Linked DNA regions of Oryzias latipes. The protein of the gene in region 7 interacts with the protein of the main gene of each other region in a pairwise test. Links are inferred from orthologs where the notes say so. Each region holds a gene or a part of one and is shown on either strand. Other genes may lie near its edges.

Region 1 (3,952 bases), on a different chromosome or scaffold from region 7:
ACCGGCAAAACATTCTGTGTGAAATTAAGCTGGAGTCGGACTGTTCTGACGGGCTCCCCCCACGGCAGCCAAGAGCCGTGGCCACAAACAAAGCGCCCTCCCTCCCCCCGGCTTTCTTGCCATTCAGACATTTTCTGACTTGTTGCAAAAACGATTGTGGCCTTTCCGCATCCTTCTCTGTTGTTGTGTGTTGCCAGTTGGGGCTGTTGTTGTGTGATGTTTGTGATCCCTCGAAGAGGTCCAGAACAATCCGAGGCGGTGTGGAGCGAGGCGCGCCGCAGCAACAGCTGCAGAGCTCGCTGTGGAAACGCGAGCAGCGGTGGCGGTCCCAAAAGCTGATATTCACCTCTAACAGGCTGGAATCTGCCTTAAAGCTGCAATCCAACAACGTTACAACACTGATCTCAGTTTTTATACGTTTTAGAAGAAAAACTACACTCCCAAATAAACACTGAAATATCTGAATTTTCCTGAAAAAGATCAAACAGTCTTACTGACATTTAACTTAGCCTCCTCAGAAGTTTCAGGAAGACTGAAGTCCATCAGCGAAAGAAGAAGCAGCTGTTCTGCAGAAGCTCCCCGTCAGCCTGATGGAGCCAGCCGGCTCACGTTGAGCCGCAGATTTCACTCCTTTTCTATTTTAGAGCATCATTAGCTTTGGAAGGTAAGATCTTTCCGGGGGGGTTAACAGCACCACAACACATGCCACTCCTTAGCGACCCTAGATTAACAATAGCAGGGGTGGACTCTGCCCCTGCATGTTACCCCCTGCAGATAAACACTGATATCAGCTTTATTACTGTAAAAACAAAATCTTGTTTTCCCTATGTGTATGTGTGTATGTGTGGGGGGGGTCCTGGGTTTTGGTTATAGACGTTACTAAAAAGGCTATAGAATCAGACGTGGTGTTTAACTGGAGCTTGGTGGGCTGAAGGCCTGGGAAGTTCTGCACAAATGTTCATGCCGAGAACCAAGCAGTCCAATGTGGGATCCGATCCAACAGGAGCTGGTCTGCTTCGTGATTTCCGACGTGTCCCACATAACAACCACCAGAGACTCGGAGGGGAAGCATCACTACAGACCCGGAGCCCAAAGAGACAGAAAAAAACCGCTATCCACTTCAACTCCTTTCAAAGGTTTATGCAGAAAAGGAGGCAGATGAAGAAAACAGTTGGGTGTCAACAGTTTTTTTTGCCTCTGAATTGATTAAATTATAATTATGTTGTAATAAAGTAAATAATCCTTAATGTACAAAGTACCACAAGCTCAAAGTGTGGTTTAATTTCCAATTTAACACAAATCCTTTTATTCAAAACCCAACTTTGGTTGTCTCCTCCTTTCGCCGGCTCCCTTTAGAGATCTCTCTCTCTCTCTCTAGGCCTCTGACCTGGTAGCTCCAACCTCTGCATCCATCTCCTATAATAATCACAGTTCCTCCTCTCAACATGTCCAAACAATCTCAATCTGCTTCTCTGCATTTATCTCTGAAACATCTACCATGATCTGGTCCTCTGACGGATCCATTCTTGATCCTATCCATCTTCATCTCAGCTACCTCCAGCTCTGACTCGCCCGAGGAACATGGCTGCACCGTCTTCTACACCTTTCCCTTCATTCTGGCCGACGCTCTTTAGTTACACATCACACCTGAAACCGTCCTCCCCCCATTCCAACCTATTTCCCACACTGCTTCTCATACTTCACCTGCCTTCACAGGCCGTCCACGAAGACGCATTAACAACACCAGCAGTATCTGCTCTTGCGGGTAACAAGAACAGGAAGAGGCTTCGTTTTCCTGCCCACAACGTCAGCTGAGGAAACCAAAAACAGCTCTTCTGTATTTCTGAAGAGGATTTTTCTAAAAGAACATGAGCCACTTCTTTCACAAACGCACTTGATGGCTCCAGCTTTTGGAAGTCCTTTTTCCTTGTTTCAAAATGCTGTTTTGCATCCAATGTTACCATAGTTTTCCGAGTTTAAATCAGTTGTGGGAGGATGATGAGAGAGGAGTCTGTGATGCTTCCTCTGCGGATCATCAGATCTTCAAGTGGGGCCTCTCACCTGTGGTAGGGCTCCCTCCTGTATTTCTTCATCGCCAGGCCGTCCATGGTGGCGGGCAAATCTGCGTAGTTCTGCAGTCTGTCGCTCCATGAAGTAGTCATCTTTCTAAAGTGTAGAAAGTCTGAAGAAAAGAAACACAAACAGAACACAACGTCCTGTCAACTTTAGATGAGTCGGTCTGGGTAATTATGCTTGTTTAAAAGATTTTCTCACAACAGGGGAACATCAGAGGTTGGATCATTAACCAACACCAGCAGATGACAAAAACCGGACACAGATTTCTAACTCAATCAGTCTCCGTCCATCACCAGAACCTCCAGATCAACAGAGAAACGTGATTACAGCGGCTTGAGCCTGTGGACTTTGATCAGTCAGCCTCGCGCTGGTTTCTCCTCTGTTGACTCTGGGGTGGGGGGTGGGGGGCTCCAGCCCGACGGGGGCTGTCAGTCGGGCCGCAAACGCCGCGTGTGGCCTTCAGGGACACGGGGAACGGACAGTCCGGGGCCGCGGCGACTTGGGGGCACCTCCTTGACAATTGTCGCGCGCGTGTAAAGTCATAAAATATTGACTTGTAGGAATAAGCGACCGCTGACGTCATGGTTTACGGGTTTTCGTCGACCTCTGTTTAGTTTTTTTCCACGGTTGAAGCTAGCTAAAAGGGCCCCCACTCCGGGAAGGTCAGCCCAAGCTGAGCGAGTGACTGTCTCGAGAAACAAAAGCCGTCAACGGCCCGCGCGGGTTCGCCCGCCTCCCGTCACGGATCTGGCCAAACTCACCTCGGGGCTCCTCAAAAACACTAAAGCGCGAACGGTTGGTCTGAGCATGCGCCGTAAGCAGAGCAAACGCGGGCAGAAATCCTCAACGCGGAGCAGCAAACGTTCGAATGCGGGGCTCTGTCTGTGCGGGGCTCTGTGCTTCCCTGTGAGCCTCCTGCGGGTGTAGGCGGCGTTTGTCTGAGCACTCCTCAGAGAGGCGGAACTGGCTGTCTTCGTGGCACCGACACGTGACCTGCTATGGGATGTGAACACACCGCAGTCCTCGCGCAGGCCATCCCATAATACTCCAACCTCACCCAAACACCCTTCACGCTCACCTACCTGCCTCTGAGTCTGAACGTCTGCTCCTGCAGAGAAGTTCCTGAAGACTGCTTACTACATGATAATTAAATGGAGGGCAGCCTGGAGCTGTAGTCGAGTACGAGTAACGGTATTTCTGAGTATATTGCTCAAATAGAACAAAAAGCATGCAAATGAAGGATTCATTCATCACATCTGTTTGAAGGAACTTTTCACACAAATTATGCAGAGCTCCATATTATTTCCAGCCCAAACGCATTGATAAAAAAGGCACCTGTATGCATGTATCCACCTCATGCATGGTTGCTGTTGCGTGGAAACAGAATACAGGAAGACAGCTGTTATTTGGTAAGGGTGGCAGCGGGGGCTCCACTACTTGGCAGTGACTGTATGGCGAAAGCCTTGTGGTGGAGAAGTTTCAAAACTTCCTTTCATTTTTTTTTCTTCCAGTGATTTTGTTTGTGCTTCCTGTGCTGCTTCCTGTCCTCTGGTTGCCATAGTTACTAGCCTGCCATATTTGTTTTGAGGCAGATGGTGCTGTTTTTCTGCGTGTGACTGAGAAACTGAGAAAAGATGCAGAGCCACAAACCGTCGTGGAGCTCTTGAGGGATCCCATAATGATTCCACTTCACCACCGTGCAGCCATTACCAGGTTTTTACTTGGTTTTTATGTTCAGAAGTCTGCGGATGAGCGCCGACTCTGAAAAATCAGTGTAATAACACTAAAAGCTCAGCTGATAGTATACCATCCTGCACTGTCTGCACACATCATCACTGTGGAATGAAAGCTTGGATGTCTGTACGGTGACTGCCTC
Region 2 (4,138 bases), on a different chromosome or scaffold from region 7:
CTTGAGCAAAGGACATTACAAAGAATATTACAATTTTACACACACACACACACACACACACACACACACACACACACACTTGGACTTTTGGATTCTTTCTTATTAGTTTGTTCCATCTGTTTTTTTCCCCCCAATCAAAGCAACAAAAATAATGTTTAAAATACAGATGTAAAATAAATTTTGAAGTGAGTGGTTTTCACGTACCTTAAATCTCACCATGCTTGCCTCCAGCCGGAGTTGCTCCACCAACTTTTGTGCCTGAATAACACTGTTGTTGCTGCAGCTGGGAGTTTTTCCAGACATCCCTTTCAGTGCAAGAGTTCTGTTTCAACAGTCTCTGCAGGAAAAGGGCGCTGGAGCAGTTTTTAAACTGACCCAGGGTGACCTCCCGTTGTGGACACTTTGCCCAGAGAGGCTGGTCTGACCTGTGCCCTCTTTTTATTCAAAGGTGTGGGCAGTTCAAAGACCCTGTGATAAGAGAAGGTCAACCGACCAAAATGTCAGCAACATCATACATTTTACTTCACAGGCATAGCTGATGAAAAACAGGAACACATGCTTTTTTCTATAAGAGTGCTGCAGTAGAAGAGAAATAGAATCAAGTTCATTTTCATTTTACCATTTGCAGCAAAATTAAAGTGCCAACTAAAGTGGCAGCAAGCCTATGTATATTCAATTACATATTCATTAAATTAATAATATATCAAATTAAAAGATTATACAAATTGAATTCTCTATCTAATGAAAACTGAATATTGAGAGGCTGTTGCAAAGAAGCGCTTCTTGAGTTTGTTTGACCCTGACCCTGATTATCCTGTAACCCTTCCCTGATAGAAATACAGATGTTCAAACAGATCATCTCCAGGGTCTGACATGTCTTTGAGGATGTTTTTAAGTGAAGCCCTTACCTTAAAGGTGCATTTAAAAGAAAGTCTCTTCAATTTTTGAACTGCTCATCTAAAAGTGATCACAGATTTCTGTTATACAACTAAATGTGTTATAATTTGGGGTAAAAATGTTACAAAAGTGGGCAAAATTTTAGATTTGTTTTGCGCTTTATTCAAACATGCTTTAAAAAACTTTATTATTAATTTATTTAATTCCTGCAAAATAAAAATAAGCAATGTTTCTAAATTGATTAAAGTTAATGTTCAAATTAAAGCATTATTTAGAATAGCAATTGATAGCGTAATAGTCAAATAAAACTTTTAAACACAAGCATGTACTTTTTTATTTTTTTAAAAGCAATGACAAAGATGATGGAAAAAAAAAAACCGGGAGAGTGAAGGTTTGCTTTTAAAAGGAAAAAAGTTTGTGCGGTTGGCATTGTTTGTACCTTCACGCTTTCCGTAGCTAGCTAGCTTCATGCTACATGTAGCCCATGCGATGGTTACTGGCTATGTTCCATCTGCGCATTTGCCGTCACCTGGCCCCTAATCCCATTATAACTTAGTCTCTCTTTGATAACAGGTATGTTTTAAAGTTTTCATGTATCTGTTTTCATTTTCACCTTGTTTAGAAGACTCTTTTAGTTAGCATCTGTGTTTCTCATCTGTGTTTATGATCCAAATTGTTCTGGTTTTTGTTTTGCTATATATTCAGATAGTTAATATTATGATTTTAAAAAAAGCAATGCTATTAGTAAATGTGTTTTTCAGCTTAATGGCTTTTTTGTCAACTTTATATTAATTAAAATGTGTTAAATTAAAATGAATTATAGTGCATCAAGTTTTGTTCTTGTAAAAATGTGCTTGGAGGAAAATGTACTTTAGTTTCTAAAGTGACCCCCCACCCCCCTTGTTTTTTGTTTTAAATAATCCAACTCAGAAACACAATGACAGTTTTTTTTATTGTTGTGGATTTTTTTGGTTGCAGGAACAATGTCAGACCACGCCCCCTCTGTAGCCATGGAGGCTGTCTTGAAGCCCAGCGATGACCTCCCTGACGACATGCCAAAAATCCGAGGCTATGACTTCAACCACGGAGTCGATCTGCAGGCGGTGCTGAAGTCCTACCTCACCACAGGCTTTCAGGCCAGCAGCCTAAGTTTGGCCATTCAACAGATCAACAACATGGTATGTGAGCCGAATAGAGAATAATTCCCTGTACACAGCTGTGCCATTCCTTATCTCCAGAAAAGTTTGTTTGCATCTTCCTTAAATATAAATTTAAAATGTTCAGTATTTTTTTCTACCTTATCTACTGATTGTACTTCACGTCAGACTTTAGATTATATTTATTTGGCATTGCTTTTGTGGGATTATTTTGATTAAATGTATGTCCCAGTGGCTATTATGAACTACTTAACACCTTACAGATTGAGAAACGCCTCGAGCCAATGGAAGCAGACGATGGAGATGAGTTAAAGCAACACTCGGGCTGCACTATCTTTCTGGGTTACACCTCCAATCTGATCAGCTCTGGAGTGAGAGAAAGCATCCGGTACCTCGTAGAGCACAAAATGGTACAGTTGGTTGTCATGCTTGTCCGAAACTGTCAACGCTAACAGACAGAGCCGTTTCTTACATTCTCTTACTTTGTTTTAGGTGGATGCGATTGTAACCACAGCTGGAGGAATTGAAGAGGACTTGATTAAATGTCTGGCTCACACCTATTTAGGAGATTTTAGTTTGTCTGGGAAGGAACTCCGGCTGAAAGGAATCAACAGGTTGTTATTGTAGATTTAATATGCTAATTTCTGACATCACTTGTTGGATTTAAAATGACAAAAATGAGGGATGGGCATTTTGACTGGCATTTACTCCACACAGCTCATCAACAGCTGCTCCTTTGGGTGCTGTTGTCACACTAAATTTTCTAGATAAATCTGTTATTTTTGGAACTATTTTTATTGTTGACTGTGAGTTTGCATTCAGTATCTATAGTCATATTTAAGCTGCAATCGCGCCTCACAGCAGCTTCATCAGGAACACATCAGTTAAGATACAAAAACATCACTCCTTCTCTGAACTCCTTCTCCTTCTGTCTGCCATGACTATAGGATTGGGAATCTGCTGGTTCCCAATGATAACTACTGTAAATTTGAAGACTGGCTGATGCCCATTCTGGACCAGATGCTGCTGGAGCAGAACACAGAGGTAAGGTTTTTTTTCTGATCAATTACCAACGTCTGAAACAGCAGTGATGCTTTAACAGTCACTTTTTAAAAAGATTTGCAACTGCAAATTCATTCCATTTCTCCCACTAGGGTGTGCGTTGGACTCCCTCCAAAATGATCCATCGATTGGGCAAAGAGATCAATAATACTGACTCTGTGTACTACTGGGCCTATAAGGTTAGCAAAATAGCAGTCGGTAACTGAAATGATTGAATGTGTTGTCATTTCTTAGCTTTTTTTAAGTAGAATTTGTCCTCATTTTATTTGCTCAACTGAATTTTTTGTGCCGTGTTGTTTCAGAATAACATCCCCGTGTTCAGTCCTGCTCTCACCGATGGCTCTCTGGGTGACATGATTTACTTTCACTCATTTAAAAATCCTGGCCTGGTTTTGGACATTGTAGAAGGTGAAAGCAAAAATCCCTTTTCTATAGTAAAGTTAGGGCTAAGTCGTCTCATGAATGTGGTGTTTGTTGCAGATATTCGCAGACTGAACGGTCTGGCAGTTTTTGCCAAGAAGACCGGAATGATCATCCTGGGAGGAGGGCTGGTGAAGCATCATATAGCCAATGCTAACCTTATGGTAATTGACCTAGTTCGTTAGTTTTCCCTTTTTCTCATTTACGTGGCACTTAGCACAGAAAATAACCTTTGTGCAGGGGGAAATTTAAGGGGAATTTCTCTGAAATTACACTTTTTTATGTCAAATGTTGCTTTCAACACATATTAAAAGAGCAGTGGTTTCAATTTTTGTTAACTGCTATATATAGTTTTATTGTGTCCTTTAAAAATACTGCAAAGCTTTTACGCCATTTCTAACAGCATGGGATGTAAATGTGCTTAGAAAGAAAACAGTCATTTTATTCAGAAATTAATGTAGTTTTTAATTTTAGATGCACTTTCTTTGACTAAATAGAGTGCTAATTTAGTTTTCTTTTTCTGACCTCCTTTTATGAAGCACAAAAACATGTGTATCTATCTATCTATCTATCTATCTATCTATCTATCTATCTATCTATCT
Region 3 (3,500 bases), on a different chromosome or scaffold from region 7:
CTGTGACTGTGAGAGGAAATACCTTCCAGGGAAGACGAGTTTTAAAAAGTGTAGCAGGTTCTGTGATTGCACAGTGATGTTCTGGATTTCTAGGAACCGTATACAACAAAAAACTTCTGGATTTAAGATTCAAAAATATTTTTTTTTTATTTAGCTCCTATATATCTAGACAATGTTCTTATTTTCAACTGTGGCCTGGCAAAAGGAAAGACGTTTTGAGAAAAGAAAAGAGGAAACAGACAAAAAACTTCAGCAATGAGACAAGACGGTCTAAAGTCATAAAAATCCTTAAACGGTATTCCTGCATTTTTCCCTAAAATATCTATTAAGATACCTTTGAAAGATCCGCTCCGATGTAAATGGTGTTTTTAACATGTTCTTGTTGCATTTTTTTCAATGATGGAGGATAAATATAAAGAAAATTCAGCTCAAATTGCATTTCTGAGTATTTTCTTTGTATAAGCCATTGTGGATCAGGAGCAGACAAAAAATGCTGGTGGAGAAACAAATTATTTGTGACGTAGAAAATACGCTGGGCGGGCCACAGTCTCCCTGCTCCGCTCCATTCTGGTTCATCCACTTTTAGACAAATAGATCCACGTTTTCCTCGTCTGAGCTGGAATCTGGATCAAAACTGTACAGCTCTGATATTGCTCACTACTTTGTTTCACCGGTAACATTAGCTTGGGGGTGTGAGGGGCTGTAAGCTAGCGGGAGAGAGTGTAAACATTTGGAAAACTTTAACTTTTGATGCAGTTCAGGGTAAGTTGTGGCTCAGTGAAACTATGCAGTAACGGTTTTCTCATTGTGCCTGGACAGGGGGGTGACAGAATAGAGGATTGTGTCATCAGCATAGTGGAGGATGCGTGAGTCTCTTTGAGGGACAACTATGTTGATTATGTAGATAAGAGAAAAAGGGTTGGTCCAATGATAGATCCCTGTGGGACGCCTGTGGTGACACAAGGAGTCTAACTAAATTGCTCTGATTTAAACATTACTTTCTCTCAATTGTGGTTCGATATATCAGTGTTTTTCAACCAGTGCGCCGCGGCACACTAGTGTGCCGTGGAGATGGTCAGGTGTGCCGTGGAAAATTGCCCTCATTAACCGATCTAAAAACATTTTCCATCTCCAGGATATCGGCTCTGTGTTCATCCAAACAGGCCCTGATAAAACACTGAGTAGTTAGGAATATAAAGATTGTAAATGACTTTTTTCTTTTTTTAGCCACAGCTACAGCTGTATTAGGAAAAGTCCCGCCCCTTCAACTGCCTCCACCAATCATTCTTGGAGGCTTAATCACATGTCATCAGTCTGACCAATCAGAAGTGGTTAAAGTCCTCACTTCGATTCTGCTCATAAAGTTGTTTAGTTCCAACAAAAAGACCAGCTAAAGCTCATATTTAGCGATGTAGCTTTCCGCGGGATCCGGTGTCAGACTGTGGAACAAGTGAACAAATCAATGAAGCTCAGAGACGAAAGTCTGTCTGGCGTTTGGTGGCTGTTCGCACTACATCTCCCATGAGGCACTGGGTTAAAGTGACAGCGTCTCAGCGCACAATGAATCTTCCTTTGACGTCTTGAAACAACAACGAACACACATCAGACAGTTTTTAAATCTTCTAACTTAACTTTTATTACATCTTTTAGAAAAAACAGCTGCAAGGGACTGTAGATCAATACAGACTTTGGGTTTCTCCTTTTTTTAATTTGTTTTGATACTGGGATGTCGCGGGATTTTTATCAAGGTTAAAGTGTGCCGTGGCTCAAAAAAGGTTGAAAAACACTGCTATATATTACTCCATGTGGTCCACGGTTGTGCCAAAGCTGCTTAAAACACAAGTTTACCTTGTCTAGTAAATAAAATAGGAAGCTTTTTTCACACCAGAAGGTTCTGTGGGTGATCCGCGACCAAACAGAGGAGTGTTTGAGAAACTGTTGCTTCCATTCATTTGCAACAAACAAGCAATTTCCACTGAGGCGTTTTTTTTCTGCGTGTAGCTTTCAGTTTGATGTCACCTTAAAGTCACAAAGACTATGAGAGGCTGCTGCGGCCCGTCAACACGTGAAGTCAAAACGAAAGCATGAACATGGGGGTTAGTCATGCGTGACGCATCCACACGCATCACGCCGTTTATGGAGGAGTACCTTCTCCAGGTCCAGCACCTTGTCCTGCATTTCCTTCAGCGCTCCCAGCAGTTCGGCCTCGTGCAGCCGCGACTGCTCCAGCTGCGTCTGCAGGTTGCTGACAAACTCCTCTGTGTACTGACAGAAAAAAAGAATAAGAATAAGACTTCAGCAAGCAAAAGTGTGGCGTGTCGTTTGATGGATTTGCGTGATCTTTAACGAGCCCGAGCGTCGCTCAGGTTTCATGCATCGTGGGAAACAAACTGACCCCCTTTGTTGAGTTTTTGTGTTGTTGTAATAGAACAGAGCAGCAAACAACTGCTCATGTAAGAGCTTGTGGTTGAGCTCATGTTTACCACAGAGTTTCAGCTAAATCACACATGTGAAGTCACACCTTCCAAACACGTTTCTTTCCCTTTTCTCATCTCCTCGTCTAAATAAGAAGAAGCTGTCACTGTCGTACTCCTCTGGAGCTGATTTTACCATTTCGGAAAAGTGTAGCTTTATTTTTTGTAGCAAAAGCTTGAAAAGAATCTAGAAAAAAAAAACGGTTCTGAATGACCATGCAGCAAAAAGCCATGTTTGTCATTGGAAAGAATGATGAAGACCTCGTGGCTGATGGCACCCAGCAGCTGTTGGAGGCTCTGAACCAGAGTGATGTCAGTAAACAGAAACCCTCAGTGCTTTCTGCTCATTCATGACACCACATCAAGGTGAAGGCGTGCAGATGATAGTAAAGAGGTTCAAATGGAAAAATGCTTTCCTATCAGGCTAAATACTCAATATTGAAAGTGGGTAAGTACATAGCGTGAGTGCAAGATTCTCGATGTGACTATCTGAGCCTTTCGGTCTTTGTTATCGAAGGCGCTGAACAGTGACACCAATCAGAGCTGGAATAGAAGTCATCAGTTCATCAGTCCCAGAAACATCATTTAGAGTGAATTTCTTCAGGTATTTTTCTGCTCAGATGACCTTTGATTTGCATTTCTTTTTGCTTTGCTTATCTATAGATTAGTACGGTTCTTAATAACATACAAATTAAAATCGTAACTATATAGAACTCAAAAACTTACATTTCTATAATTCAAATTCATTCTTTATTTTTTTACTCATCCAATCCAACAGCTGATCAAACAGGTCAGAGCTGAAGGCCTCATTGCCTTGATTTTACTGTTACAATAAAGGTTTATGAGTCTTCTGACACACGAGGTGTATATTTGTACAAACCCCTTTTGTATTTTAGATTAAACTTTATTGATATTGATTATGTTTGCATACTTTTTTTTGTTGGGCCAGATGGAAAACAAGATAATACAACAAAATACAAAGTTTACAATTATCTGTTTTTAAAGTGGAATGACATAAAGGAAAAA
Region 4 (4,134 bases), on a different chromosome or scaffold from region 7:
CTAACTGGATAGGTAGAGTTAGAGGCAAACACACTGTGCATTAGTCACTGTAAAATACATGTATATATAACCCTAAAATTGATAATTTTTGAACAAAGAAAGCTTTCACAAATGATTATTGGCTAAGGTAATGCAAATTCTATGAGCACTGTGTTAATGATGAGTTAATTTTCTTTTCTTAATTTTGATGTTCACTGGATGTAGCGTGCATTGCCCTCATGCAATTGTTTACCTGAGCCACTTTAGTCACTGTCATGTTTTCAAGTTACAATCATAATCCATATTTTTTAACCAAATCATCTGATGCAAAAGTACCAGAAGACCAACTATGCTGTATATTTCACCAATTTCCTTGTTCTTCTTATTTAATTAACAGATGTGATTACCTGAGATACAGCACAACATAATGTATGAGCAGGTGTTCTTTCAAATCTTGCTTGCTGATGTGTTATTTTATTAATGAAAGTATGTGGGCATTTTGTTTGTTTGAGTAAAAGTTTGTTTGTTAAGTGTAACGTAAAAATCCCTCCCCCCACATTTATAAATATATTAAACTTTTATGTAACAGACAAGTATTTTGTTGTGTGAGACTTTCTTTCAAAATACTACAATAAAAAGAAAGCCCGTGGAAAAGATTCACCAGATTAAGCATACAACTCTCAATAATTATGTGGGGTAATTTGGGGGAACAATTGCACAAAATTCTTTTGCATGAGACAAAACATGAGCATGAACTATCTGACAATGCTGCTTTTCTTAACACAGAGCAGTAATGTGGGCTACACCATTCAGAGAAACATTTTATGATTAAAAAAAATAAAGAAAGAATAGAATAAAAAAAATTAAGAAAAAACTTTGATAGTGGTTTTATGTATCACAACAAACTTTTGCAATTTTTGGAAATTTGTGCAAACTCTTTTATCTGAACTTGTCCAAATTATATTTTTAATTCTAATCTATCCAGATAGTACCACTAAGGATACAAAATAGTAGACAGCTAACACATTAGGGGTCTACACAGTGAGAATTACACTACATTATACTCCAATTATAAGGTAGATTGACGTGACTACTGTAAAGATTCATTGATTGCTTAGATACAATCTATCAATAAAGTATAGTTAAAAAGTCAGAAAGAAATTTAATAGCAAATGAAAAGTTGTAGATTCTGGCGTTGAGCACAATGGATTAGAAAGAAGAAAAGTCTATATTTACACGTTTGCAAGGTAGAGATCACAGATTTCTTGGTATGTCAGGCTCGCCTGCATTATCCTCCGCAGCACACGGTGGCGGTAGTGAGCCGTAAAAACAAAATCCCATTTTGGAAGCACAAGAAGATGCTGCTCGGAGAGGTGAGCTGTTAGCTAATAATGTTACGTATATTACCAGCACTGCGATATTCTCAGCGGCGATCTTTGTTTTTTTCTACTGCTCCACGTTTCCTGGGAAACAACTTTAGCACTCAAATGGTCACTGAAAATAAAGGCAAGATAATTTTATGTCAAGAGGTTACTGACATCATTAGACTAAGCGAGCTTTTTAGTCGCTGTCTGTGTGTCTCCCCGGTTGGTTTATTTTTAGCTAGAGTGTGTGCTAACAGGGTGGACCGACGCGAAATCTATTTTTATTTTTTATAGGACGTAAATGCTAAGAAATTAATCAACACAGAGCTGTGTTTCGCATGCCAAGAAGAACTTCTTTGTCACTCTAATCTGGCAAACATCTTCATTGGAAGATAATTTTATGGATGAAAAGTGCAGTTATTTGCCTATTTTTTTTCTTTTTTGTTTAAATGACTCTGTAAATAAATGTGTATAAAAAACACGATTTGATCTGTTCGTTTTGCTGCTTATGTATGCATCAACCCCGGTAGTTCTGTCTCCGTTTCCTGTTTGGGGGAGGAACTATTTCCTGCCCGCGAGCGCTTAATTCAAACAGTTGCTTTCCCTCCAAAAAACTGGAACGGAAGGTTGCAGAAATCAGCGAAGCTGCACAGCGAGTTGCACATAGCTTTTAGTTTTGTATTACTTTTGGTATTTTTTTAACCGTCTTCTGGTTCTTAACTGTAATACTTTGCTACCATGCCTGTGTTAGACGTCGTCACGGATGCTTCAGCAGTCTCTCCATCAAAGAGAGCTCGGACAGAACCTAGAGCAGAGGAGCAAAGAACGGTTCTTAGGTTTGCTAAGCTCTCTGAGAATGCCACGACCCCCACGCGAGGCTCATCCAAGGCAGCAGGATATGATCTGTACAGGTTAGTCGGTTTTTATTGTACATGCACAGGTGTTTTGGTGTGACAATCATTCCTAAACATTAACACGAATAACGTCAAACATGTTTTAGGTTCGCCTGTGTGGAATCAGAATGTTTTAAATAACTTTATTTTTTGTGAAACAGTGCATATGATTACACCATTGGTCCCATGGACAAGGCCATTGTGAAGACAGACATTCAGATTGCAGTTCCTCATGGCTGCTATGGGAGAGTGGGTGAGTTGAACTGAAGAGCTGCTCTTTTATATCCTTGTACTTTTTTAGCAACACAATTTAAGACTATTATTACCATTTTACCTTCTCAGCCCCAAGGTCTGGACTGGCTGCCAAGCATTTTATTGATGTTGGTGGTATGTTTCTTTTTCTTTTTTTGAGCTCATTGTCACAGCCTAACCTATGTGTTGGTCATTTCAATTCCTGTTTTTGTGTGTGTGTGTGTGTGCATTCTCAGCTGGGGTTGTAGATGAGGACTACAGAGGAAACTTGGGTGTTGTGCTTTTTAACTTTAGCAAAGAAACATTTGAAGGTGAGTTGCCGTCAATAAACACTACATTTATGTCACTTGTGCCAGCAGTTACATGCAGCTGGGAAGTAAAAATGCCCTGGAATATTAGGCTTACCTGTAAACATGACATAATTGACTATAACAAACAGTGGATATGCTTGTTGTTGGAGCATTATACAAGGGAAGTAGAGAGGTGTTTGCTAAGGCAGATGCAGATGTCCATATAAATGTCTGGTGTTCTTCCTTGCAGTGAAAAAAGGGGACAGGGTTGCTCAGTTGGTGTGTGAAAGAATCTGCTACCCAGAGCTGGAAGAGCAAGAGGTAATCCAACACATTACAGCTGTTTTATTTGATTTATGTTACTAAAAGAAATGTTTTACCCAAAAAATAAACCTTTAAATTGTTTTTCTTCATTTAAAGTTGTGATAAAATAACTGTGTGAATTCATTGTGTTTGAAAAAAATACTTGCATCTCTCAGTACTAGTTTTTATGCAATCTTTGTGGCTCTACAATGATCAACATGTAGTCCTGCAGGTTTCACGACAGCCCTACAATGAAAGAAACGTAACACTCAGTTCACCAAAGCCCAGCAATACTTGTTTTCTTCATAAACTGAAAGTTGAGGGTCTTTTACCATCTAAAAATACAGATGTCATTGCTCACTGTAAAAGTTTTAATTTACTTGGATCTGTCATGCTTTTTCAGACACTTGATGATACGGAGCGAGGGTCTGGAGGCTTTGGATCGACTGGACGCAACTGAAGACCTCGAAACAAATTTGAAGTGACAATACACTGATGAAGTTATTTTATGTTACCTAGGTGCTAATAAAGTTTATTTTTTACAGTTTCATAAACTACATTTCCTTGTTTGGATCCACTTTTTTTAAACTTTAGATCAGTCTTAAAGTTGTAATACTCATAATCTCCACGTGGTGGCAGTATAAGACAATTTCCCTGCAGCCCAACTCCTGTTACAATCCACATTCCTGCAGTAGTGTAGTGTAATTATCATAGGGGTGGAGGTGTGAAATTCTCCAGCATCTGGAAGGCGTGTGCTTCGGTTTCTCAGAGCCCTTTAACTGCATTTGAAATGTACTTAGCCAAAACATTCGGGGACACTGCTGCACCCCACCTTGGTCATGCACAACTGCAGCTTTGGTGTAGTTAGCGTCTGTCTCGGGTTTCAACTTTGACGAAGGGGAAAAGCCAAGCAGGGAGTTCACCGTACACCAAAGTTGTTTTTATTGTGAATTTCTCAACTTAACCCTCACTTGATGTGAACAGAGAACACAGACGGGTGTCTCGCTGGTCCGTGGCAATGCGGCACTGATTTAACTTGTGAGAGAATGTGCG
Region 5 (2,082 bases), on a different chromosome or scaffold from region 7:
TGGGTCTCGCTGGAGCCTTGTCCCTGCCGGTGTTCTGGCTGGCTGGAGCTGGAGCTGCTGTGTTTTGGGTTCTTGGTGAGATAAACTAAGTGTTTCCGTCATACTCTATGTTCACCAGAACATCTCTTTAAACACTCAGTTGTAAAATTAGAGCTACATTGATATCTCAAGTTATGTTGGTAACCAAAGGAATACTGTTGTGGCAACTTCCATGAACATAGAGAGCTGCTCCTCAACAGGGGTTTAGGCACTTGGTCAGGTTTGGTCAGGCTGGCTTAACCCTTGTGCTATCCTAGGCCCTTTACCACTGGGAGTTGGGTCATCTAGACCCACCAGACAGTGCTCTGAACCTTTTTTCTTCAATGATTTGTGATCTTCATTGGTGTCCATGGATTACATGAAATCTTTCCACCTTTATCCACCTTTGTCATGGTAGGGAGAACACGTCAATGTAAGGGTGGGGTCATCTAAGATAGGACAAGGGTTAAGAAAGAGGCAAAAGTGGAGAAACAGAAAAGGGGGATGTTTTTGCCCCTTGTGCTATCTTAGATAGCACAAGGGGGGGGAAAGCTGCAATGAAACTGATTCCTTTTCTTTATTTGTATCTTATATTCCTGTTGTTTTACCTCAGATATAGACACAAGAATGCACCTAGACCATAATCAGCTAAACAATGATGTAATTTCATTTATTTAGGACTTTTTTTTTTGTCTGGTTTTCCTGACTTTTCTTCTTTCGTCTTAGGAGCAACACTGTTTGTGATTGGCACACATGCGGTTTTCCGTGAGCTGGAGGGATCCGACATGGAGGAGCTGCTCATGGAGTCTGTGTAAAAGAAAAAAAAGAGGGTGAAACACTTTCCCAGGTGCTGGTCAATGTTTGGGGGGTCCCTTTGACCCTACAACTGCATCAGCCCTCAAGGGTTTAGGAGGGGGAAAGCTGCAATGAAACTGATTCCTTTTCTTTATTTGTATCTTATATTCCTGTTGTTTTACCTCCAGATATAGACACAAGAATGCACCTCGTCCAGCCTCATCGATTACTGTTCTTAATGGCAAACTCATCAATGCAGACCAATTTTATGTTTAACGTGCCTTAGAGCACATCATTTGACAGATTCTATGCCTTTCTGTGCATGTTTGCTTCTTATTTGTATGATTATTCTGGCTCTTTGCATTATCTTTTATCAAAAATGACGTTACTTATTAATAGTGTGTCTGTGCTGCACTATAGTGCAGATTTATTGGGAAATAGATTCTGCTTGACAACAACAGGTATCTCGCATTGAGAAAACATTTACATTTTTGTTTTTTTAAGATGAAGTGCCATTCAAAAGTTATAGTGGGCCTAATAACATTGTACAAAAACTTGTATTTAGAACATTTTAAAAAAGGGCTTTTTAAGTTGGTGGTAAAACTTGTCAGAGAAGGTCAGTATTTGCCTCTTACATTTGGTAAATATTTTTTCGGTTCTAGTCTGATGGTGTCCAAATCATGAAGCTTGTTTCTGAAATTGTCTATTTTGATGTAACTGTTGTCTTTTGCTAAGATTTGGAAGTGCAATAAAATGTGTTTAAAAAAAACATTGTTTTGTAATTCGTATGTTTGAGTAAATTCCTGTAGGATGCAATGACCTCTGAAGCCGTGAAGGCATGTTTTTTTTTTGCACTGTACCTGTCCATCTTCTTTGGCTCCAGTTTGTATAAAGTCAAATAAGTGGATGCCCGTCGCTGTGGCTGCGGCGCTCTTCCAGCACACCGGTACTGCAGTGCTCGCCAACCCCCTCTCATCCCCCTCTTGATGCGACCCCTGCGACCTGTGCTCTGTGGCAGCACGGTGAAAGGCCCCCGTCTTCACGTTGCCATGGCAATGACCTTGGAGGGCCCCAGTCAGACGAACACTCGTCCGCAGGAACACTCGCTTACACACTGCGGCAGAGGCAGGCGATCGATATTCTATTATACGTAGGGTGACGAGGGAGGCAGCACAGTCGCACTGCAGTGAGCTCGCTGCAGAGACACGGGGGAAATTAGAACGGGGGTGAGAGTGTGTGTGTGTGGGGGGGGGTTTGTCAGCCAGAGTG
Region 6 (2,591 bases), on a different chromosome or scaffold from region 7:
TCCTGAATCCGATACGTATCCGATCTTTTAAAATGCGACCCCTGTCTGAACGGCCAGGACACATGTATCCGACTTGTACGTCATTGATACGCTACAAACGTCATAATTCTGCGTTGAAGTAGGCACGAACTAGAACATAAACATCAACCATGGCGGACGATGCTGCTGAGACCAGTCAGTGGAACGGACGCTAGGTCACCGATTGGATTAATATTTGGGGTGACAGCTCTGTTCAGGCCAAATTCAAGGGCTCTCATCGCAACCGGGCGGTTTTTGAAAAATTTTCCAGCTATATGGCCGAGCGTGGTGTTGAACCTGCCCCGCATGACTATTTTCCCCCTTTCCGACCGTGGTCAGAAACGCGGGGGAGACCTTCTCCAGGGCCGAAGGCGGATCCTCCTTCGGGGTTCACTTCCCCATTCGGACCCTCCGATTCTCCAGAGCAGGTTAATAAAGAGTCAAAAGCAGTTCTGCTGGGGGGAGCCTTCTTTTATTATCGTTCTCCTTCCTCCGTGACACACAACATGATTGCACGCCCCCACTGCCCCTCAGAGAGGAGAGTGTGCGCGCAGCGCAGCAGAGAATACTGCACTGCATGCACACTTTCCTCTCTCTTACACACACGCACGCAGCCCCAGCACATCCACATCCCCATTCAACAACAGTGGGTCCAGACAATCCTGGCTCCAATAAAATGAGAAGATTGTAATTGTGCTGGCTCCTTTGTGAAAATAAATGTAATAATGCAAAAAGAGATCCGCTGTTGACAACACTGTTGTTGACATCCATTGTTAATGTTAGCTACTTCCGCAAACAACGAGTGATGTCGTTCACCGCTGAGTACTCTTCTGCGCATGCGGGTCACTTCTGGGTCATTTCACGTTCACACAGGAGATCACAAATGTTCGCATTTAATTGGAAATGTGAAAGGCCTTGCAAAAAAAATTGAACTTTTTCAAAAAATCGAAATCGAGCATCAAGCCCTGCAGTGTGAATGTACCTATGGCAATCCTGATGACTCAAAAGTCTAGAATAATATGGGTTTTGAGCACCAGTTTTTCCACTATTTTGACACAAAGCTTTACCACCCAAATAAACCACAAATCACTAAAAAATACAAAGAAAGTTGCATGTTTATTTAATGAACATATCAAATACACGTGTCGATTTTTTTTGCATTCAATATTTGTTTCAAGAATAAAGCGTTGGCACCTGCTTGTCCCAAAGAGTTCATCCTGACAGACTGACCTGATAGCAAGCAGAAAATGAGAGCATGAAGAGCAGGAACAAAAGACTGAGAAGACAGGACACACCAAAGACGGACAAGAAGACAGATAAGGAAACATAGGTCAAACTGACTCAAGAAGAGGCTTAAGGTATAGAAAAAGAAGGAGTTCAGAGTTACAAAAACACTAAAAGAGAGAGACAAATCCCAAATATTTTTTGGTTACCTCTCTATCCTCTTTAGCCACAGATGGAATAGAATGGGATGAAGATTCCAGCTTCCCAGCTGAGGTCGGAAAAACTCCACTTACGCTCTTGTTGCGGACATGGCCTCCGACATGTTTGTATGACCCTCTTGTACCTGAAGTCTGCAGCTGTGGATGCAGCTGCCAATTAGGTGAGGAAGGCGTCGATGTCAGCACCAGAGTCTTGAGTGCAGTCACCTCTGCCTGCAGAACATCAATCTGATGGGACAAAGCCAAAGAACAGTTGTGAAAATGGACTTGGTAGCAAAAAAAAAATACTCTAAAACATTTTTAAAGGGTTTGATGTAGGCCATTACTGTTCAAAGTATCATGATTATGAGCACAAAAGAACATGTGCACACCTTTCCTTGAGCCTCTTTCAGCTGTTTTTCTGCTCCTGCCTGTTTCACATTGGCTTCACGCACCATCTTATGAGCCTCCTGTTGAAAGACAACCAGACATTTTTCTCTGATAAAAGACAATCACTACACTAAATCAATAGAGTAGACGTTGATCAGCTTTAGAAAGGACCAAGCATAAAAACACTTGAAATCTAATACAAATAAAATAATATAAAAATGTCAAATACAATGTGTTGAATTCACCTTTTCATGCATGAATAAATATTTTTGTTCCAAATAGTTTGGCACACAGTGTCCCTAACACTTCTACAGCAACACAGGAAACTGTAGTTTTTGCTAACCTCAAACAGACTGGCAGTCAGTTCCTCAAGTTCTTGCTCCAGCTGGTTCCTGACTTGTGACAGACGCTCACACTCCTTATCTTTAAGTTTCAGTTCCTGAGATGGACAGAAAAAAAACAACGAATCAACTGGGAAAGAAAGACTGCACCGTCAACTTTTTTGTTCAATTCTCTCTTTGTTTATGCCTGTGCGTATAAAGTAGGTTACCACACCCTCTTAGCAGCATCCAACTGTTCTCTAAGAATCTCAGAGCCCTTCTCTCTTATCTCCTTTTCTCTTAGTTCCAGTGAAGAGCTGCGCAGCCTGGTGAGCTCGCCATGAGATCTGCCCGAGGGGGGCCCACCTTGGACCCCTCCCTCCAGTCTCAGGTCCGGCTCTGGATCCAGGTCTACCAATCTGCAGAAGACCACAAACAAAAG
Region 7 (4,121 bases):
GCTTTGCCATGGGGGGGGCAAGGGCGTGGTCTCAGTTTAGGAAATACTGCCAAACAGTTTTGGTGCTAAACTACAGCCACCCGCTTGTAAAGTGACAGTTATTGTTTACTTTAGCAGGTTTTATCTTTCAAATCCATATTTTCACCTTTTAATTACTTAACTAAATGTTTAATTATAAAAGAAAATACTTTAACTATTTAGCTTGCAAACTAAAAAAGTAGTTAGTAAATAAAACATTAAAAAATAGATTGTATCAAAATGTGAAAACCTGCATTTAAAATGAAACCTGCTAAATATCCAAAAATATTTCAGTTAAAATGTAACTGTAACTTTACAAACAGCCCCCCCCCCTACGTAACAAACCAAAGGGGCATAAAAAAGTCAAAACATGAGCAGAAAGAGACAAAATGAAGACAAATAAACAGACATGAAGCTGCAGAACATCAGGATGGACGGAACCCGCCTCTTCTGACCAGAACCCCCCAGCTGCTGAAAACTGCCTAGAGGTCAGAACAAGAAGTTAAACTCACGAGTCCAGCTTCAACCCCCCCTACAGAAACGGAGGGTTTCTGCCCGGTTAGTCCCAACCGGTAAATCACTGCAGACACACGGTTTCAGCGCTTACAGCCTTCGACTGACCTTTCAGCGTTATAACACGCGGAAGCGGAAAATGAAAACAGGAAGCTGAGAAACTGTTCATCCACAGATTTCACAATAAAGGCCGTTTAGTCACGAAAAATCCCACTACACTAATAAAAAGATGTAAACGACTTAAATTCAAATTTCAAAATATATTTAAACGTAGTATAGTCTGTAAAAACGTAAAATAACTGAGAAAATGTTGCAATTTTAAAAAGTCTAAGATGAAGCTTGAAACTCCAACCGGAAGTTAAAGACGGTGCACTTCCTGGTTTGTTTGCCGTTGACAAGTGTGAAGAGTTGCGGAGACCAAGCAGAAAAAGGTTCGCTTTTTAATAAAAATAAAAAAAAGATGGCGCTTATGATAAATTCATTTGCGAGATTCCCAGTTTTGCGCTAAACAGAGAGAAGAACTCAAATAGTTTGCGTCCCGTTAGCTGTTATGCTAGCTAGCAGCTACTGCAGAGAGCTCAGTACTGAAGTACCGACGTACAGCGAGTTGCTGGAGGTTCTGCTGAGTTCATCCAGGTAACAAAAGAGAACCTCAGCGTTTCACAGGAGAAGATCTAGTGAGTCTCACCTCAGGCAGACCTGGACTAGTTTGAACCACGATGGGGTTCTTCAGAGGACAGAACTGACTGCAGGAGCGTCCTGGTCCTGGTCCCGAAGCTTCCGTTTGGATCCGGTTCGTGACTCCGGTCCACAGACGCTCAAAGCTGCACGTGCCGTTTCAACAGGTGGCCACAACCAGATTCCTCTTCAATAGAGTTTTATGAAACAGAGGCAGACTGGTGAGCCCCCCACCCCCCACGTCATCATCACACCTGTCAGAACCCCAAAGTACACAAATAAACGGAGGCAGAACCAATTGGAACCAAAACTTTAGGCTGAGAAAAGCCCAGCAGTGGATGAAGGTCTGAAGGGGCCTCTGCTGATCAGTGGAACTCCAGGCCTCCTCTCTGTGACACAGGAGGGTCCGGTTCACATGGAGGGTCTCTCTGGGTTCAGGTTCTGGTTCTGCTGGGACTCCTCACTTAAGCTTGAACATGAAGCAGCATCACACGGATTGTGCTGGACGTGAACTAGGACCCATTTTTTCCCCCGTGTCTAGGCAGACATTGAGATGACATCAGAGCGGCAGCTGGTGGAGGAGCAGGTGGAGCGGCTGCTGAGTGGCCAGGGGTCAGAGGTCAGCCTCTGTGATGTCGGCATGGAGCAGAGCAAGCCGGCGGCGCTGAGGAAGAACATTACCTACATCGTCTGCGCCGTCATCTTCAATGAGAAGGCAAGCCCAGCACGCCATGAGAGCGGCGGCCGCTCCTCCTCATGTTGAAGCCTGTTCGTGTGGCTCCTTTAGGAGGAGGTGCTGATGGTGCAGGAGGCCAAACAGGACTGCTACAAGCAGTGGTACCTTCCTGCAGGGAGGGTGGAGGTGGGGGAGAGCCTGGAGGAGGCGCTCAGGAGGGAGGTGAGGCATGCAGGAGTCATGTTTTTTTCTCCACCCACTTCCTGGCTTACCTGTTCTGTGGCTGTCTGCAGGTGAAGGAGGAGGCGGGGTTTGACTGTGAGCCAATCACCATGCTGCTCATCCAGGAGCAAGGGCCACAATGGATCCGCTTCATCTTCCTCGCCAGGATCTCAGGTGGTGTCAGAGCGACCCGGGGTGCTCTTTGGGGGGGGGGGGGGAACCTCAGTGAACCTGGGTCTCCTCTTCTCCAGGTGGTAGTTTGAAGAGTCTGGCAGCAGCAGATCAGGAGTCTCTGCAGGCCGCCTGGTGGGACAGACAGTCCCCCCTCCCCCTCAGAGGACGAGACATCCTCCGCCTCATCGAAAACGGGCTCAAGTAAACACCAAACGTTCACCGAACATCACATCTGTGGAGGTTTTCCCGCTGTCTAGACTGACGGTGCTGCCTTCAGGTACCGCAGGAATCCCTGGCATCCTGTCACTCTGCCAGTTGACCTGAGTTGTCGTCACGTGGTGCAGAGGATGGTCCTGGTCTTTGTTGGTGCCGAAGATCAGATCTGGATCCTATTGGTCCGAGGTACAACCCCCAACACACAGTCTGATGTCGGTCCCGAAGCATGATGGGAAAATGGTTCCAACCCTCCTCCCTTACAAACACTTACATACGCCGTCTGTGTGAGGCGTAGAGCTGACCTCCTGTTCCCTGACCGGGTCATGAAGCGCCTGGTTCCTCCTGAATCAGAGTCTAACACCGACCACTCTCTCCTCCACCAGGGAGGAGTAGTTTGGCTCCTCCCCCTCCCTGGTGGAGGAGGAGCAAAGCTTCCCGTGCATTTTTCTGACGGTTTTCTTATTTTCCTTTTTCAGCAGGATGACTGCTTTTATTTTGAAAATCTTGTTGACCTCCTCCTGACCTGCAGGCCCGACGCCCCATCTCCCCACCGCCGCGGCGGTGAAAACCCATGCGGTGACGTGGGCGGCCAACATGGTGGTGCAGGAGGCCCTGCCGTCGTCCTACTACGACCACGACGTCGCCACGCTGGGCGTCTGCGGCCTGCAGCACAACGGGCGGCAGCACGGGCGCACGGACGGTGTCTGCCTCAACACGCTGGTGGCGCTCGTGCCCGATCGCGTGCAACGTGACGAGGACGGACTGAAGGTGGAGCTCCCGCCTACGGGGAGGCCCCCACCCATAGAGAACCCCCGATACGTCTGGTTTGAGGTTCAGAATCTGGATCTCAGAGAGAAACTTCTGGAAAAAACCAGAAACACGTCCGTGCTGCCGATTCACAGCCTGTACTGAGCGCGCTCAGTGACAGCAAGCGGACTTTCAGGGTGACCTCACGACCTCAGCGTCTCAGATGGAGGGAAAGTATTTGCCCCCTGAGGGGTATTATCATGTTGCGTCAGTGTTTCCTGCAGTTGTCAATGTGAATGTGTGACTGTGAAGCTTTCAGAGCAGAATCGTTCTCCTCCCAGGAAGGTCCGTTTGTGGCTCATCCAGATGTTCCTCTGGGTTCTTGTTCCTCAGCCGTGTCTTTTTCCTTCATGGATCCGCGTTTGTTCTTCTGACTGTTGGATCGGGAACCATCTTCTACTGCTTTCAGGATGAGATCTCTTTGTGGAGCCGTTTTGATTGATGGTTCCACCGAAGGTTCTCTGATGGATCTCTGAAGTTCTAAAGCTGCAGGAACGTCCGTGTGACTCCTGGAAACGTGTCAGAGGCCGTGGGAGAACCTGAAGATGTTCAGAACATCCAGACTTCAGGAGACACCGTTTCAGATCAACATCTGTTCCTTCAGCTGCTGATGAACACAGAAGCTTCAATGTGTGATGAAGAAATCGTTTCTCAGGGAGGGGGGCAAAGACTTTCATTGAGGGGTTTTTGAGTGCAGATCGTGGGGTTAAAGGTCGTGTTTAAATGAACTTTTCTCTAGGAAATGAGACAAACGTTTGGACTGAAATGTGTCTGAATGATGTGTGACGGCATTGATGCACTTTAACGGCGTTCTGTT

What was found.
Region 1: the proteins of nudt18 (region 7) and nt5c2 interact in binary tests that used the Homo sapiens proteins (3 or more experiments, as listed by UniProt). The two-hybrid records come from large-scale screens. The link is inferred for Oryzias latipes from reciprocal best matches to the Homo sapiens genes NUDT18 and NT5C2.
Region 2: the proteins of nudt18 (region 7) and dhps interact in binary tests that used the Homo sapiens proteins (3 or more experiments, as listed by UniProt). The two-hybrid records come from large-scale screens. The link is inferred for Oryzias latipes from reciprocal best matches to the Homo sapiens genes NUDT18 and DHPS.
Region 3: the proteins of nudt18 (region 7) and evi5l interact in binary tests that used the Homo sapiens proteins (3 or more experiments, as listed by UniProt). The two-hybrid records come from large-scale screens. The link is inferred for Oryzias latipes from reciprocal best matches to the Homo sapiens genes NUDT18 and EVI5L.
Region 4: the proteins of nudt18 (region 7) and dut interact in binary tests that used the Homo sapiens proteins (3 or more experiments, as listed by UniProt). The two-hybrid records come from large-scale screens. The link is inferred for Oryzias latipes from reciprocal best matches to the Homo sapiens genes NUDT18 and DUT.
Region 5: the proteins of nudt18 (region 7) and rabac1 interact in binary tests that used the Homo sapiens proteins (3 or more experiments, as listed by UniProt). The two-hybrid records come from large-scale screens. The link is inferred for Oryzias latipes from reciprocal best matches to the Homo sapiens genes NUDT18 and RABAC1.
Region 6: the proteins of nudt18 (region 7) and rab3il1 interact in binary tests that used the Homo sapiens proteins (3 or more experiments, as listed by UniProt). The two-hybrid records come from large-scale screens. The link is inferred for Oryzias latipes from reciprocal best matches to the Homo sapiens genes NUDT18 and RAB3IL1.

The regions. Positions count from the first base shown.
Region 1 is NC_019859.2:29,631,490-29,635,441, reverse strand, and holds the start of nt5c2 (cytosolic purine 5'-nucleotidase), read right to left. Parts: upstream 2,801-3,952; 5' UTR 2,303-2,800; coding exon 2,275-2,302; intron 2,183-2,274; coding exon 2,062-2,182; intron 518-2,061; exon of another isoform or gene 501-517; coding exon of another isoform or gene 499-500; intron 1-498. UniProt on the Homo sapiens protein: Broad specificity cytosolic 5'-nucleotidase that catalyzes the dephosphorylation of 6-hydroxypurine nucleoside 5'-monophosphates.
Region 2 is NC_019866.2:13,273,114-13,277,251, forward strand, and holds the start of dhps (deoxyhypusine synthase), read left to right. Parts: upstream 1-1,338; 5' UTR 1,339-1,470; intron 1,471-1,875; 5' UTR 1,876-1,880; coding exon 1,881-2,075; intron 2,076-2,317; coding exon 2,318-2,464; intron 2,465-2,546; coding exon 2,547-2,668; intron 2,669-3,001; coding exon 3,002-3,098; intron 3,099-3,208; coding exon 3,209-3,295; intron 3,296-3,418; coding exon 3,419-3,524; intron 3,525-3,596; coding exon 3,597-3,700; intron 3,701-4,138. Other genes in the region: guanine nucleotide-binding protein G(I)/G(S)/G(O) subunit gamma-12-like, read right to left, coding at 205-303. UniProt on the Homo sapiens protein: Catalyzes the NAD-dependent oxidative cleavage of spermidine and the subsequent transfer of the butylamine moiety of spermidine to the epsilon-amino group of a critical lysine residue of the eIF-5A precursor protein to form the intermediate deoxyhypusine residue.
Region 3 is NC_019859.2:2,642,080-2,645,579, reverse strand, and holds part of evi5l (EVI5-like protein), read right to left. Parts: intron 2,266-3,500; coding exon 2,149-2,265; intron 1-2,148. UniProt on the Homo sapiens protein: Functions as a GTPase-activating protein (GAP) with a broad specificity.
Region 4 is NC_019861.2:13,031,777-13,035,910, reverse strand, and holds dut (deoxyuridine 5'-triphosphate nucleotidohydrolase, mitochondrial), read left to right. Parts: upstream 1-1,334; 5' UTR 1,335-1,370; coding exon 1,371-1,485; intron 1,486-1,806; exon of another isoform or gene 1,807-2,081; coding exon of another isoform or gene 2,082-2,094; coding exon 2,095-2,254; intron 2,255-2,397; coding exon 2,398-2,489; intron 2,490-2,578; coding exon 2,579-2,623; intron 2,624-2,724; coding exon 2,725-2,799; intron 2,800-3,028; coding exon 3,029-3,099; intron 3,100-3,484; coding exon 3,485-3,541; 3' UTR 3,542-3,640; downstream 3,641-4,134. UniProt on the Homo sapiens protein: Catalyzes the cleavage of 2'-deoxyuridine 5'-triphosphate (dUTP) into 2'-deoxyuridine 5'-monophosphate (dUMP) and inorganic pyrophosphate and through its action efficiently prevents uracil misincorporation into DNA and at the same time provides dUMP, the substrate for de novo thymidylate biosynthesis.
Region 5 is NC_019874.2:20,933,491-20,935,572, reverse strand, and holds the end of rabac1 (prenylated Rab acceptor protein 1), read left to right. Parts: coding exon 1-75; intron 76-744; coding exon 745-833; 3' UTR 834-1,582; downstream 1,583-2,082. UniProt on the Homo sapiens protein: General Rab protein regulator required for vesicle formation from the Golgi complex. May control vesicle docking and fusion by mediating the action of Rab GTPases to the SNARE complexes.
Region 6 is NC_019864.2:15,779,452-15,782,042, forward strand, and holds part of rab3il1 (guanine nucleotide exchange factor for Rab-3A), read right to left. Parts: intron 2,569-2,591; coding exon 2,385-2,568; intron 2,269-2,384; coding exon 2,173-2,268; intron 1,910-2,172; coding exon 1,832-1,909; intron 1,689-1,831; coding exon 1,452-1,688; intron 1-1,451. UniProt on the Homo sapiens protein: Guanine nucleotide exchange factor (GEF) which may activate RAB3A, a GTPase that regulates synaptic vesicle exocytosis. Promotes the exchange of GDP to GTP, converting inactive GDP-bound Rab proteins into their active GTP-bound form.
Region 7 is NC_019867.2:402,651-406,771, reverse strand, and holds the start of nudt18 (8-oxo-dGDP phosphatase NUDT18), read left to right. Parts: upstream 1-1,321; 5' UTR 1,322-1,411; coding exon 1,412-1,430; exon of another isoform or gene 1,431-1,476; intron 1,477-1,750; exon of another isoform or gene 1,751-1,754; coding exon 1,755-1,924; intron 1,925-1,996; coding exon 1,997-2,107; intron 2,108-2,178; coding exon 2,179-2,281; intron 2,282-2,358; coding exon 2,359-2,482; intron 2,483-2,558; coding exon 2,559-2,683; intron 2,684-3,026; coding exon 3,027-3,409; 3' UTR 3,410-4,121. UniProt on the Homo sapiens protein: Mediates the hydrolysis of oxidized nucleoside diphosphate derivatives. Hydrolyzes 8-oxo-7,8-dihydroguanine (8-oxo-Gua)-containing deoxyribo- and ribonucleoside diphosphates to the monophosphates. Hydrolyzes 8-oxo-dGDP and 8-oxo-GDP with the same efficiencies.